3 linked regions of the Saccharomyces cerevisiae S288C genome follow. Changing the gene in region 1 together with any one later gene gives a genetic interaction. Each region holds a gene or a part of one and is shown in the gene's direction. Other genes may lie near its edges.

What was found. A genetic interaction does not mean that the proteins touch.
Region 2: mutations in RRP1 (region 1) and YOR1 together harm fitness more than expected from each alone (negative genetic interaction), as found in Saccharomyces cerevisiae (2 studies listed by BioGRID).
Region 3: mutations in RRP1 (region 1) and YJR142W together harm fitness more than expected from each alone (negative genetic interaction), as found in Saccharomyces cerevisiae (2 studies listed by BioGRID).

The regions. Positions count from the first base shown.
Region 1 is NC_001136.10:616,970-619,942, reverse strand, and holds RRP1 (Rrp1p), read left to right. Parts: upstream 1-1,636; coding exon 1,637-2,473; downstream 2,474-2,973. Other genes in the region: mRNA splicing protein SLU7, read left to right, coding at 298-1,446; translocon subunit SSS1, read left to right, coding at 2,773-2,973. UniProt on the Saccharomyces cerevisiae protein: Required for 27S rRNA processing to 25S and 5.8S.
Region 2 is NC_001139.9:1,050,882-1,057,926, forward strand, and holds YOR1 (ATP-binding cassette transporter YOR1), read left to right. Parts: upstream 1-1,942; coding exon 1,943-6,376; downstream 6,377-7,045. Other genes in the region: PXR1 (telomerase inhibitor), read right to left, coding at 29-844; BGL2 (glucan 1,3-beta-glucosidase), read right to left, coding at 6,902-7,045. UniProt on the Saccharomyces cerevisiae protein: Functions as a pleiotropic drug pump at the plasma membrane to clear toxic substances from the cytosol. Organic anion transporter involved in the detoxification of a wide range of toxic environmental organic anions that contain carboxyl groups.
Region 3 is NC_001142.9:695,467-698,838, forward strand, and holds YJR142W (uncharacterized protein), read left to right. Parts: upstream 1-1,674; coding exon 1,675-2,703; downstream 2,704-3,372. Other genes in the region: HIR3 (Hir3p), read right to left, coding at 1-230; IPA1 (putative polyadenylation protein), read left to right, coding at 440-1,483; PMT4 (dolichyl-phosphate-mannose-protein mannosyltransferase), read right to left, coding at 2,860-3,372.

The DNA.
Region 1 (2,973 bases):
TGATTTTTATACCTAGTGACAATTAAAATATAGAAAAGAGTTGGTAACCTCAGCTGCCGTACTCTTCAATTTAATTGGAGAAGTTGTCGAGTTTTTTTAAAGTACATTTCATTGGAACAACTAGTGACTAGTTCGAACGCGGAAAGACAATAATAGTACCCATAACGATAACTCCTTCGTTATCTATTGAATAGCTTGCCTTTCAAGTAAATCAATAATCAAGTCTGCGTATATCATTTATCGAGCACTTCTGAAAAAGATACCAGTTACACTGAAATACAACGATCGGATTACATAATGAATAATAACAGCAGAAACAACGAAAATCGAAGCACTATTAACAGAAATAAAAGGCAACTACAACAAGCAAAAGAAAAAAATGAAAATATTCATATCCCCAGGTATATTAGAAATCAACCATGGTACTATAAGGATACCCCCAAAGAACAAGAAGGGAAGAAGCCCGGCAATGATGATACGAGCACTGCAGAAGGAGGAGAAAAAAGCGACTACTTGGTGCATCATAGGCAAAAAGCAAAAGGGGGTGCTTTAGATATTGACAATAATTCAGAACCAAAAATTGGTATGGGTATAAAGGATGAGTTCAAACTAATCAGACCCCAGAAGATGTCCGTCCGAGATTCTCATTCGCTGTCATTTTGTAGGAATTGTGGGGAAGCAGGGCATAAGGAGAAAGACTGCATGGAAAAACCTCGTAAGATGCAGAAGCTTGTTCCCGATTTAAATTCACAAAAAAATAATGGCACAGTTTTAGTACGAGCTACTGATGATGACTGGGACTCCAGAAAAGATAGATGGTACGGTTACTCAGGGAAAGAATACAATGAACTGATAAGTAAGTGGGAGCGTGATAAAAGAAATAAAATAAAAGGAAAAGACAAATCCCAAACTGATGAAACACTATGGGATACAGATGAAGAGATAGAACTAATGAAGTTAGAACTTTACAAGGATTCCGTAGGTTCATTGAAGAAAGATGATGCTGATAATTCTCAGTTGTATAGGACATCAACGAGATTGAGAGAAGATAAGGCTGCTTACTTGAACGACATAAATTCAACGGAGAGTAATTATGATCCTAAATCAAGATTGTACAAAACTGAAACACTGGGCGCAGTTGATGAAAAATCAAAAATGTTCCGCAGACATTTGACAGGTGAAGGCCTAAAATTAAACGAATTGAACCAGTTTGCTAGATCTCACGCTAAGGAAATGGGTATACGTGATGAAATTGAGGATAAGGAAAAAGTACAACATGTTTTAGTCGCCAATCCTACTAAATATGAATATCTGAAGAAAAAACGGGAACAAGAAGAAACCAAGCAGCCCAAGATTGTCAGCATTGGAGATCTGGAAGCTAGGAAAGTAGATGGTACAAAGCAATCTGAGGAACAACGGAACCACTTAAAAGATTTATATGGTTAAGTTATATCATTTGAATTTCCAATATCCTAGTCACGGAGCACGAGAGGTAAAGAATTTAGAAAAAAAAATGCGATGAGCTGAAAAAAATTGTCAAATATAAACTACATTCTTAAGTATACGTATATATCTTGCGCATTCACGGCATAATACACTAAATAGACACTTAAAAAATCGAGTGAGAACATTCACAATGGAGACCTCCAACTTTGTTAAACAATTATCGTCGAACAACAGAAAAACCAGGGTAAATGCACTCGAAGCGTTAAAGAAATATCTAACCGCTAAACAGTTCAAGGAGAACAAACAAATAGAATTCAATAAACTTTGGAAGGGTCTTTACTATGCAATGTGGTTCAGTGACCGTCCTAGACCTCAGCAACGTTTAGCCAATGAATTAGGTGAATTGCATGGATTATATTTTGATCCTAAGGACAATAGCACTGCAGATGAGTTGACCACAAACGATAAAGCATTTATAAAGTTTAGCAGAGGGTTTTGGAAGGTCATGTGCTTTGAATGGTTTAACATTGACAGATATAGGTTGGATAAGTATCTTCTATTGATAAGAAGGGTATTATTCAGTCAATTGAAGTATTTGCAGTCCAGAAACTGGGACAAAAAATTAGTCGACGAGTATATTAAGAAAGTGTTGAGGTGGTTACCTCTGAGTGGAAGTCCAAAGGTCTACACAGGGATTCCAATTCATATCGTCGATATTCTGCTGGACGAATGGGAAAGATTGCTTAAAGATGGAGATGAAGACGATGAAGACGAGGAAAACAAAGAGGAAGAGATGCGCAAAATTGCAGAGAGCGCAAAAAAAACGCCACTAGCCGATGTTATCGCAATTTTCCAAGATATCGTGGCAGATTACAATAACAGTAAGGTGTTGAGAGAGAAGATCAAAGAAGACCTATTCAGTGACACCAGACTTGTTTCCTGGGATATTCTTGAAGGCGAAACGCAACATAATGATTCCAGTAACGAATCTGAAGAAGAGGAAGAGGAAGAGTGGAAGGGATTTTGATTCTTCCTGGCGGTAGTATGTAAGTAATCGTAAGTCGCTCATATAAATTGTAGTTGTATATCTATAGTACGAAAAATTCATTACCCTCTGTGGATATTGGCGGAATGCGAAACACGTCGCCTTTTTTTCCTCGCAACATTTTTTTTATTTTTTTTTCGTTTTGAAATGAAAGAATACTAGTGATTAAATTAAACAAGGAAAATAGTACAGATTGGCGTGTATTGTCCATAACTCGTGTCCATTGTCCGCACTACGCTAGTTTACCAAAGATAAAATCACGTATAACATTGAAAAATAAAATGGCTAGAGCTAGTGAAAAAGGTGAAGAGAAAAAGCAGAGCAACAACCAGGTTGAAAAGCTGGTTGAAGCACCTGTAGAATTTGTCAGAGAAGGTACTCAATTCTTGGCCAAGTGTAAGAAACCTGATTTGAAGGAATACACCAAGATTGTCAAGGCTGTTGGTATTGGTTTTATTGCAGTCGGTATCATTGGTTACGCC
Region 2 (7,045 bases), on another chromosome or scaffold:
GCTCACACAATGAAACGCAATGGAATGTTTAGTCGTTTGTTATCATAAAGATCTCATTCAGTGCCTTGGAGTCCATCAACGCGGCCCTCTTTTGTTTTATCCATTTGGAGCGCACCGATAGTCTTGTGTTTACCGCATCGGGGATATTGGATGCAGATTCACTAGATTTTAATTTTGACGTCTTTTTCGTTTCTTTGGTCTTTTCCGCCCTTTTTTCCTTCTTCAATCTCTTCTCTTCCTTTTTATGTTTCTTATGCTCCTTTTTGTCCTTCTTGTCTTTTTTCTTGTCTTTCTTATGCTTTTTGTGCTTCTTGTGCTTCTTTTTATCACTGTCTTTATCCTCTTTGTCGTCATCATCTTCATCTTCGCTATCGTCTCCTTCCCTCTTTCGTTTCTTCGCGTTGGAGTAATTTCTTAACTTGTGAGTCTTTGGATCCCACGTGCTTGCTAAAACTTCACCCTTCACAAAATGGATACCCCATTTTCCGTCAATAATCTTCTGCTTTCTCTGCGTGTCCAATTCCTCTGATATTTTGCTTTCCTTTCCGTTCAGCCTACCAAGAATTCGCTGGAAGACATCCAACCCTGCGCATTCACCATTATCAAACTCGTCTTTTTTGTCTTTACGTTTTAATTTAGCACCGAGCCCAACGTTGTCGTCCTTAATTGACACTTTGATATGCGAAGTGTTCGAATTCATGGGGGATAACCCCAGACCCATACCGGGTTTCCATCCAAACTTTTCTAGAAATTGGTGCCCGAATCTCGAGGTGTCGTTACTCCATGCCGTATTTCTGGGGTCTAAACCAAACCGCTGTTTGGTTCTTGTAGCTGCCAAACCCATTCTGCTTCTTTGTTTAATGGTGTAAGCTGCCTATATGTTACTATTGAGTACTCATCTCATCGCTTCTTTCAGAACAAAATTTTTCATATTTTTTTTTTTTCCTTTTCTTTTTTTTTTTTTCTTTGACTGTTACCCGGTTGTTTATATTTGTAGGAAAACAACAACGACAGAGAAAATATCCTTGCAGTGGCGGCTAATTTGTTAGTTGACTGATTGATCACCTTCACTTATTAAAGTAAAATCAGCATACAAGAGATCAGAAGGGAGAAAGAGAGTGGGCAAGGCTATAGTACTTTGAAGAAAGCATCTTTGAACCGACCAGTTCTCTTCACAAGCAAAATCTATATGACTAACCGCAAGGGGCAAAGGGTTGTGAGAGGGCCCGTCTTTCTCCCGCTATAGCCGTCACTGGTATCCCTCCTGGCTGCACAAATCCGATAGAAAGGGGAAGAAGGAAGTTTAGTGCCACCTTATAGCACGCAGTTACTGTTTACGCTAAGGAGAGGCATACTCAATTTTTATTAGTCGCCTTCTTTAGTTGCTGCGTTTTTATCCACGGTTCTCTACTAAATGCTTGCGATAAGCGCTTCTATTTTCCTCCCCACCGCGAGGCGGAAATGGCACATTTTTTTTCTTTTGCTTCTGTGCTTTTGTTGTAATTTTTGGCATGTGCTATTGTATGAAGATAACGCGTGGTTCCGTGGAAATAGCCGGAAATTTTGCCGGGAATATGACGGACATGATTTAACACCCGTGGAAATGAAAAAAGCCAAGGTAAGAAAGTGGCAATATTTTTCCTACAAATAGATCTGCTGTCCCTTAAATGATTACCATACATATATATATTTATTACACATCTGTCAGAGGTAGCTAGCGAAGGTGTCACTGAAATATTTTTTGTTCCAGTTAGTATAAATACGGAGGTAGAACAGCTCTCCGCGTGTATATCTTTTTTTGCGCTATACAAGAACAGGAAGAACGCATTTCCATACCTTTTTCTCCTTACAGGTGCCCTCTGAGTAGTGTCACGAACGAGGAAAAAGATTAATATTACTGTTTTTATATTCAAAAAGAGTAAAGCCGTTGCTATATACGAATATGACGATTACCGTGGGGGATGCAGTTTCGGAGACGGAGCTGGAAAACAAAAGTCAAAACGTGGTACTATCTCCCAAGGCATCTGCTTCTTCAGACATAAGCACAGATGTTGATAAGGACACATCGTCTTCTTGGGATGACAAATCTTTGCTGCCTACAGGTGAATATATTGTGGACAGAAATAAGCCCCAAACCTACTTGAATAGCGATGATATCGAAAAAGTGACAGAATCTGATATTTTCCCTCAGAAACGTCTGTTTTCATTCTTGCACTCTAAGAAAATTCCAGAAGTACCACAAACCGATGACGAGAGGAAGATATATCCTCTGTTCCATACAAATATTATCTCTAACATGTTTTTTTGGTGGGTTCTACCCATCCTGCGAGTTGGTTATAAGAGAACGATACAGCCGAACGATCTCTTCAAAATGGATCCGAGGATGTCTATAGAGACCCTTTATGACGACTTTGAAAAAAACATGATTTACTATTTTGAGAAGACGAGGAAAAAATACCGTAAAAGACATCCAGAAGCGACAGAAGAAGAGGTTATGGAAAATGCCAAACTACCTAAACATACAGTTCTGAGAGCTTTATTATTCACTTTTAAGAAACAGTACTTCATGTCGATAGTGTTTGCAATTCTCGCTAATTGTACATCCGGTTTTAACCCCATGATTACCAAGAGGCTAATTGAGTTTGTCGAAGAAAAGGCTATTTTTCATAGCATGCATGTTAACAAAGGTATTGGTTACGCTATTGGTGCATGTTTGATGATGTTCGTTAACGGGTTGACGTTCAACCATTTCTTTCATACATCCCAACTGACTGGTGTGCAAGCTAAGTCTATTCTTACTAAAGCTGCCATGAAGAAAATGTTTAATGCATCTAATTATGCGAGACATTGTTTTCCTAACGGTAAAGTGACTTCTTTTGTAACAACAGATCTCGCTAGAATTGAATTTGCCTTATCTTTTCAGCCGTTTTTGGCTGGGTTCCCTGCAATTTTGGCTATTTGCATTGTTTTATTGATCGTTAACCTTGGACCCATTGCCTTAGTTGGGATTGGTATTTTTTTCGGTGGGTTTTTCATATCCTTATTTGCATTTAAGTTAATTCTGGGCTTTAGAATTGCTGCGAACATCTTCACTGATGCTAGAGTTACCATGATGAGAGAAGTGCTGAATAATATAAAAATGATTAAATATTATACGTGGGAGGATGCGTATGAAAAAAATATTCAAGATATTAGGACCAAAGAGATTTCTAAAGTTAGAAAAATGCAACTATCAAGAAATTTCTTGATTGCTATGGCCATGTCTTTGCCTAGTATTGCTTCATTGGTCACTTTCCTTGCAATGTACAAAGTTAATAAAGGAGGCAGGCAACCTGGTAATATTTTTGCCTCTTTATCTTTATTTCAGGTCTTGAGTTTGCAAATGTTTTTCTTACCTATTGCTATTGGTACTGGAATTGACATGATCATTGGATTGGGCCGTTTGCAAAGCTTATTGGAGGCTCCAGAAGATGATCCAAATCAGATGATTGAAATGAAGCCTTCTCCTGGCTTTGATCCAAAATTGGCTTTAAAAATGACACATTGCTCATTTGAGTGGGAAGATTATGAATTAAACGACGCTATTGAAGAAGCAAAAGGAGAAGCTAAAGATGAAGGTAAAAAGAACAAAAAAAAGCGTAAGGATACATGGGGTAAGCCATCTGCAAGTACTAATAAGGCGAAAAGATTGGACAATATGTTGAAAGACAGAGACGGCCCGGAAGATTTAGAAAAAACTTCGTTTAGGGGTTTCAAGGACTTGAACTTCGATATTAAAAAGGGCGAATTTATTATGATTACGGGACCTATTGGTACTGGTAAATCTTCATTATTGAATGCGATGGCAGGATCAATGAGAAAAACTGATGGTAAGGTTGAAGTCAACGGGGACTTATTAATGTGTGGTTATCCATGGATTCAAAATGCATCTGTAAGAGATAACATCATATTCGGTTCACCATTCAATAAAGAAAAGTATGATGAAGTAGTTCGTGTTTGCTCTTTGAAAGCTGATCTGGATATTTTACCGGCAGGCGATATGACCGAAATTGGGGAACGTGGTATTACTTTATCTGGTGGTCAAAAGGCACGTATCAATTTAGCCAGGTCTGTTTATAAGAAGAAGGATATTTATCTATTCGACGATGTCCTAAGTGCTGTCGATTCTCGTGTTGGTAAACACATCATGGATGAATGTCTAACCGGAATGCTTGCTAATAAAACCAGAATTTTAGCAACGCATCAATTGTCACTGATTGAGAGAGCTTCTAGAGTCATCGTTTTAGGTACTGATGGCCAAGTCGATATTGGTACTGTTGATGAGCTAAAAGCTCGTAATCAAACTTTGATAAATCTTTTACAATTCTCTTCTCAAAATTCGGAGAAAGAGGATGAAGAACAGGAAGCGGTTGTTGCCGGTGAATTGGGACAACTAAAATATGAATCAGAGGTAAAGGAATTGACTGAACTGAAGAAAAAGGCTACAGAAATGTCACAAACTGCAAATAGTGGTAAAATTGTAGCGGATGGTCATACTAGTAGTAAAGAAGAAAGAGCAGTCAATAGTATCAGTCTGAAAATATACCGTGAATACATTAAAGCTGCAGTAGGTAAGTGGGGTTTTATCGCACTACCGTTGTATGCAATTTTAGTCGTTGGAACCACATTCTGCTCACTTTTTTCTTCCGTTTGGTTATCTTACTGGACTGAGAATAAATTCAAAAACAGACCACCCAGTTTTTATATGGGTCTTTACTCCTTCTTTGTGTTTGCTGCTTTCATATTCATGAATGGCCAGTTCACCATACTTTGCGCAATGGGTATTATGGCATCGAAATGGTTAAATTTGAGGGCTGTGAAAAGAATTTTACACACTCCAATGTCATACATAGATACCACACCTTTGGGACGTATTCTGAACAGATTCACAAAAGATACAGATAGCTTAGATAATGAGTTAACCGAAAGTTTACGGTTGATGACATCTCAATTTGCTAATATTGTAGGTGTTTGCGTCATGTGTATTGTTTACTTGCCGTGGTTTGCTATCGCAATTCCGTTTCTTTTGGTCATCTTTGTTCTGATTGCTGATCATTATCAGAGTTCTGGTAGAGAAATTAAAAGACTTGAAGCTGTGCAACGGTCTTTTGTTTACAATAATTTAAATGAAGTTTTGGGTGGGATGGATACAATCAAAGCATACCGAAGTCAGGAACGATTTTTGGCGAAATCAGATTTTTTGATCAACAAGATGAATGAGGCGGGATACCTTGTAGTTGTCCTGCAAAGATGGGTAGGTATTTTCCTTGATATGGTTGCTATCGCATTTGCACTAATTATTACGTTATTGTGTGTTACGAGAGCCTTTCCTATTTCCGCGGCTTCAGTTGGTGTTTTGTTGACTTATGTATTACAATTGCCTGGTCTATTAAATACCATTTTAAGGGCAATGACTCAAACAGAGAATGACATGAATAGTGCCGAAAGATTGGTAACATATGCAACTGAACTACCACTAGAGGCATCCTATAGAAAGCCCGAAATGACACCTCCAGAGTCATGGCCCTCAATGGGCGAAATAATTTTTGAAAATGTTGATTTTGCCTATAGACCTGGTTTACCTATAGTTTTAAAAAATCTTAACTTGAATATCAAGAGTGGGGAAAAAATTGGTATCTGTGGTCGTACAGGTGCTGGTAAGTCCACTATTATGAGTGCCCTTTACAGGTTGAATGAATTGACCGCAGGTAAAATTTTAATTGACAATGTTGATATAAGTCAGCTGGGACTTTTCGATTTAAGAAGAAAATTAGCCATCATTCCACAAGATCCAGTATTATTTAGGGGTACGATTCGCAAGAACTTAGATCCATTTAATGAGCGTACAGATGACGAATTATGGGATGCATTGGTGAGAGGTGGTGCTATCGCCAAGGATGACTTGCCGGAAGTGAAATTGCAAAAACCTGATGAAAATGGTACTCATGGTAAAATGCATAAGTTCCATTTAGATCAAGCAGTGGAAGAAGAGGGCTCCAATTTCTCCTTAGGTGAGAGACAACTATTAGCATTAACAAGGGCATTGGTCCGCCAATCAAAAATATTGATTTTGGATGAGGCTACATCCTCAGTGGACTACGAAACGGATGGCAAAATCCAAACACGTATTGTTGAGGAATTTGGAGATTGTACAATTTTGTGTATTGCTCACAGACTGAAGACCATTGTAAATTATGATCGTATTCTTGTTTTAGAGAAGGGTGAAGTCGCAGAATTCGATACACCATGGACGTTGTTTAGTCAAGAAGATAGTATTTTCAGAAGCATGTGTTCTAGATCTGGTATTGTGGAAAATGATTTCGAGAACAGAAGTTAATTTATATTATTTGTTGCATGATTTTTCTCTTTTATTTATTTATATGTTGCCGATGGTACAAATTAGTACTAGAAAAGAAAACCCACTACTATGACTTGCAGAAAAAGTTATGTGTGCCATAGATAGATATAATTGCATACCCACATTGTATACTCAAAATTCCGAAAAGAACATTTCATTTTTTATGAGGCAAACTGGACAACGCCTTCGGTCCTTTTTCATTCTAGAAATATATATTTATACATCATTTTCAGAAGATATTCAAAGAACTTATTGGGATGTCTGTTTACTGAATAAAGTATACACAAAATACGAATTTAAAATGGAAGGCATAAAATAGAAAACTTAGAAGTGAAAATCCTAAAACCGAAGGATATTTCAAATACGTAAAAGAAGTGAAAGATAAAATAAAGCCTAAATAAGGAAGAAAAGAAGGGATAACATTTTTTTTTGTTACTTTTTGCTTATTCCTCACCTAAACAGAAGGAAAAAGCCATTCTTGTTTAAAGAGTATTTTTAAAGCGTTCATGAAAAGTCACAGTCCAAGGAGTATTTCAAATTGTCACTTGAAGTGAAAACACCCCAGTGCTTCTCGACATCAGAGGTACCAGAGGTGTTTGGCTTCCAATCTTCATCAAAGGCTTCAAAAACAATAACGTTAACACCCCA
Region 3 (3,372 bases), on another chromosome or scaffold:
AGCGTAGGAGAAGAATTGCGATACATGCCCCACCTATCAGGCTTGACGACATCAATCTGGAAGAGCTCTTGGAATTTGCTGTCCGACTTTTCGAAGTCCTTGTTTTTTAGATCAATCAGAGCGTCCTGCAAAATATTAAAACTCTGTTCTATTTGAAGCTCTCTTGAATGCTCCTCTGCTTCATATTGTTCACCTTCGATGTTTGAATTGAGGGCATTGAACATAGACATAATAAGCTTTATCTAGAATCTGTGTTGAGGTTCTAACTCCTTAAAGTGCCTTTACGGACCTGCCTTGCTACCGTCTATTTGTATTTCTGCTCTTCCCAACGTAAACAATTCAATAAATAATTTCGCGATGGCACATAGTAACAAGCTGTTAAATCGAAGTAAAGAAAAGGAAAGTCAAGAAAACAAAGAGAGAAACAAATGCAAGGGTGATGGTTCAATATGTGGTAGAATGGTTACCAAGGATACAGAGCATTTCAGTGGTAGTAGAAGGTTGGAAGCAGGTGGAGATAAAGAACTTGAAGGACACACTCATGAGCATATCTGGTGATGAAGAACAAGTTGAAGATATTTTACTTCCAGTAGAAGTTGAAGAAAAAGTAGACGCTTCTTACAAGTTCAAAAACAGAGGTAAAGACTTAGAATGGATGACGAAGTTAAGAAGCAAATCCTCTAAGATATATGACAGTTCTATCATGTCGCTTCCAGATGGAAGATGGACTAAAGAAGAGCTTCGCTCAGATTCTGATTTCTCGATAGAATGTCTTAACTGTAAGCAAAAAATTATAAGCAAAGATAACTGTCAAGTTTTGAATGATATGCCTTCAGAGTTTTGGTTCGAGTTAATGGATTATTGGCATTGCCACAAACCCGATGTTAAGGAAGACAAGTCTTCCTACACAAGATTTGAAACGCTAAAACCATCTAAAAACGAAATTTTAATTGGAAGCTCTTATTTTCAAGGCACTCCTGCGACTTTTGAAAATGTAGCGACTACAAAGGAAAATGATAATGTTTTATGCATAAAGTGCTCAGCAGTGTTAGGCCAAGTAACTGCTGGTTCGCTTTATAAACTACACAAATGGAAACTGCAGTTAATACGCAGTGGAAACACATACAAATTTCCTCCAGAATGTGACATTACAATTTCTTTAATAAACGTAGTTAAGGCAAACTCTTGTCGTTACGTACTAGTAAAATGTAAAACGGAATCATTGCTAGTTTGGATATTTTCCGTTGACATTGGAGTCACATTGACGGGAAACAAAAGCTTCAAGAGAGCGATGAAGTTGCTTTACACAAACAGCGTTACCACAATAAATCGATGTCTCAATCGACAAGTCGTCGAGGAATTAGATTTCCAAGAAACATCGTTTAATGCTTTTTACAGCGCCCTTCAACATACTAATGCACTTTTACCCTCAAGCATGAAAAAAATTGGTGAATGGACCATTAGCTATACATCACTAATCTAATTTTAAGAACCATTCTCTTTCAAATTTGTACAAATATTGTCATCAAGTAATAAATAGCTTCTTTTTTTTTTTAACATACAGTTGTAGAATTAACTTCGTTGGCCGAAGAATTGCACAACAATAGCGTTTGTTATATTACTAAATATAGGGGCTTTCTTGGGAACGAAAGTGAAACAAACGCTTTTAATACAATGAAGGTCGAGAAATCATCTAAAGGCTTGGAAGTTTTAGTGAGGACACAGGAGGATGATCTAGAGGGGTTCTCTTTCCTGGAGATTATGGACCGCGTAGACCCTTTACCATTAGACTTCGAGAATTACAAAAATTTCAAAGAGGGCATTTACTATATGTGTACACACGATGGCACAAAGATCGGTTTCGTGTTGAAATTTGCGATAAATGAAATGGAGACTGTTTGCTCGGAAATCTTCGAAGAAACCTTCCAATTAGATGAATCTAGACATGAGTTAAGGTTTAAAAGTGAAGATTTTGATCATAGAAACAATCTAATTGACCAATTGGCTCGTAAAATGTATTTAGAATCATCCTTGAGTGGTGTGAAGGGCTGGAGAAACGAGAAATATGCCGTTTGGGTTAATAAAAAACCCTATGTACTGGTTGAGCGTGCAGTAGCAGGTGTTCTTGGTATAATTACCTACGGGATTCATATTAATGGTTATGTGCTAGATCCAAAGTCAAAAAAAGTTCAGTTTTGGGTTCCAAGAAGATCTAAAACGAAACAAACATGGCCGCTAATGCTTGACAACATTATCGCCGGGGGATTAGGTTATCCTTATGGTATCTATGAAACAGTTTTGAAAGAAAGCATGGAGGAAGCCAATCTAGAAAAGAGTGTTATTGAGGATAACATTAAAGCAACTGGTTCAGTTTCCTACCTTTACTTTACGGGTGATATTTCTGTAACGAAGTTCAATAAGGAATCAGATTTTATCGTAGGGGAAGTACAATATGTATACGATCTAAAACTCAGCGAAGACATCATTCCAAAACCAAACGATGGTGAAGTCGAGAGTTTCAATTTATTCAGCCTGCAAGAGACGATTAATGCTTTAAGAAAAAAAGAGTTCAAACCAAATTGTGCATTGGTAATGGTAGATTTCTTGATTAGACATGGCTACATCACTCCAGAAAATGAGCCCAATTATCTTGAACTAGTAACTAGAATGCACAGAAGGTTACCATTCCCCACCTTGAATTAACATTCAAGAGGTTACCGGTTGATATCTAAACAAATATAAAGAATTTTTTTCATATATACACATCTAGGTACATACTATCTAAGATCAAAAGTACTCTATTTTGTCACTAAACGGAGGAAGGCGTTCAGTTCGTTTGTGGTTAGTGAACAGAAAAAGTTACTTGGAGAAATTTAATTCTATGTCAAACCACTCTCTAGAAACAACTTCCGATGGTGACAAGCTGACATCTCCATACACTAGTGGTGAAAAGTATACAAAAAACCACGCAACAGCACAGGAGACACACACCAAGAAGACGGTATAGGGTTTAACGTAGACCTTAGGGTTCCGTTCATATGATGCACCTGAAATATCCTCGTCTTTCTCCAAATCCAATGATTTGCAATCACTGAAAATTACTTCCCATAGTGCTCCTGAGAATAAGCACGCGATTAAATGAGCTGGTAAGTAATGATGCAAAAACTTTTGACGCGCCATTAAAAAGAATGGAAAATAATGACAGCACCAGGAGACGAAGAAAAACATCAATGGGCCATACAGCTTTTCTCTGGTCATCTTGTTTAGGGCATAATAGCCACGATGTCTAGTAATTAAATCGGCCACGATAATGCCAACAAAAACAGCCAATGATATGACTTGGAACCACCACCCAATGATGTTACCAATGAA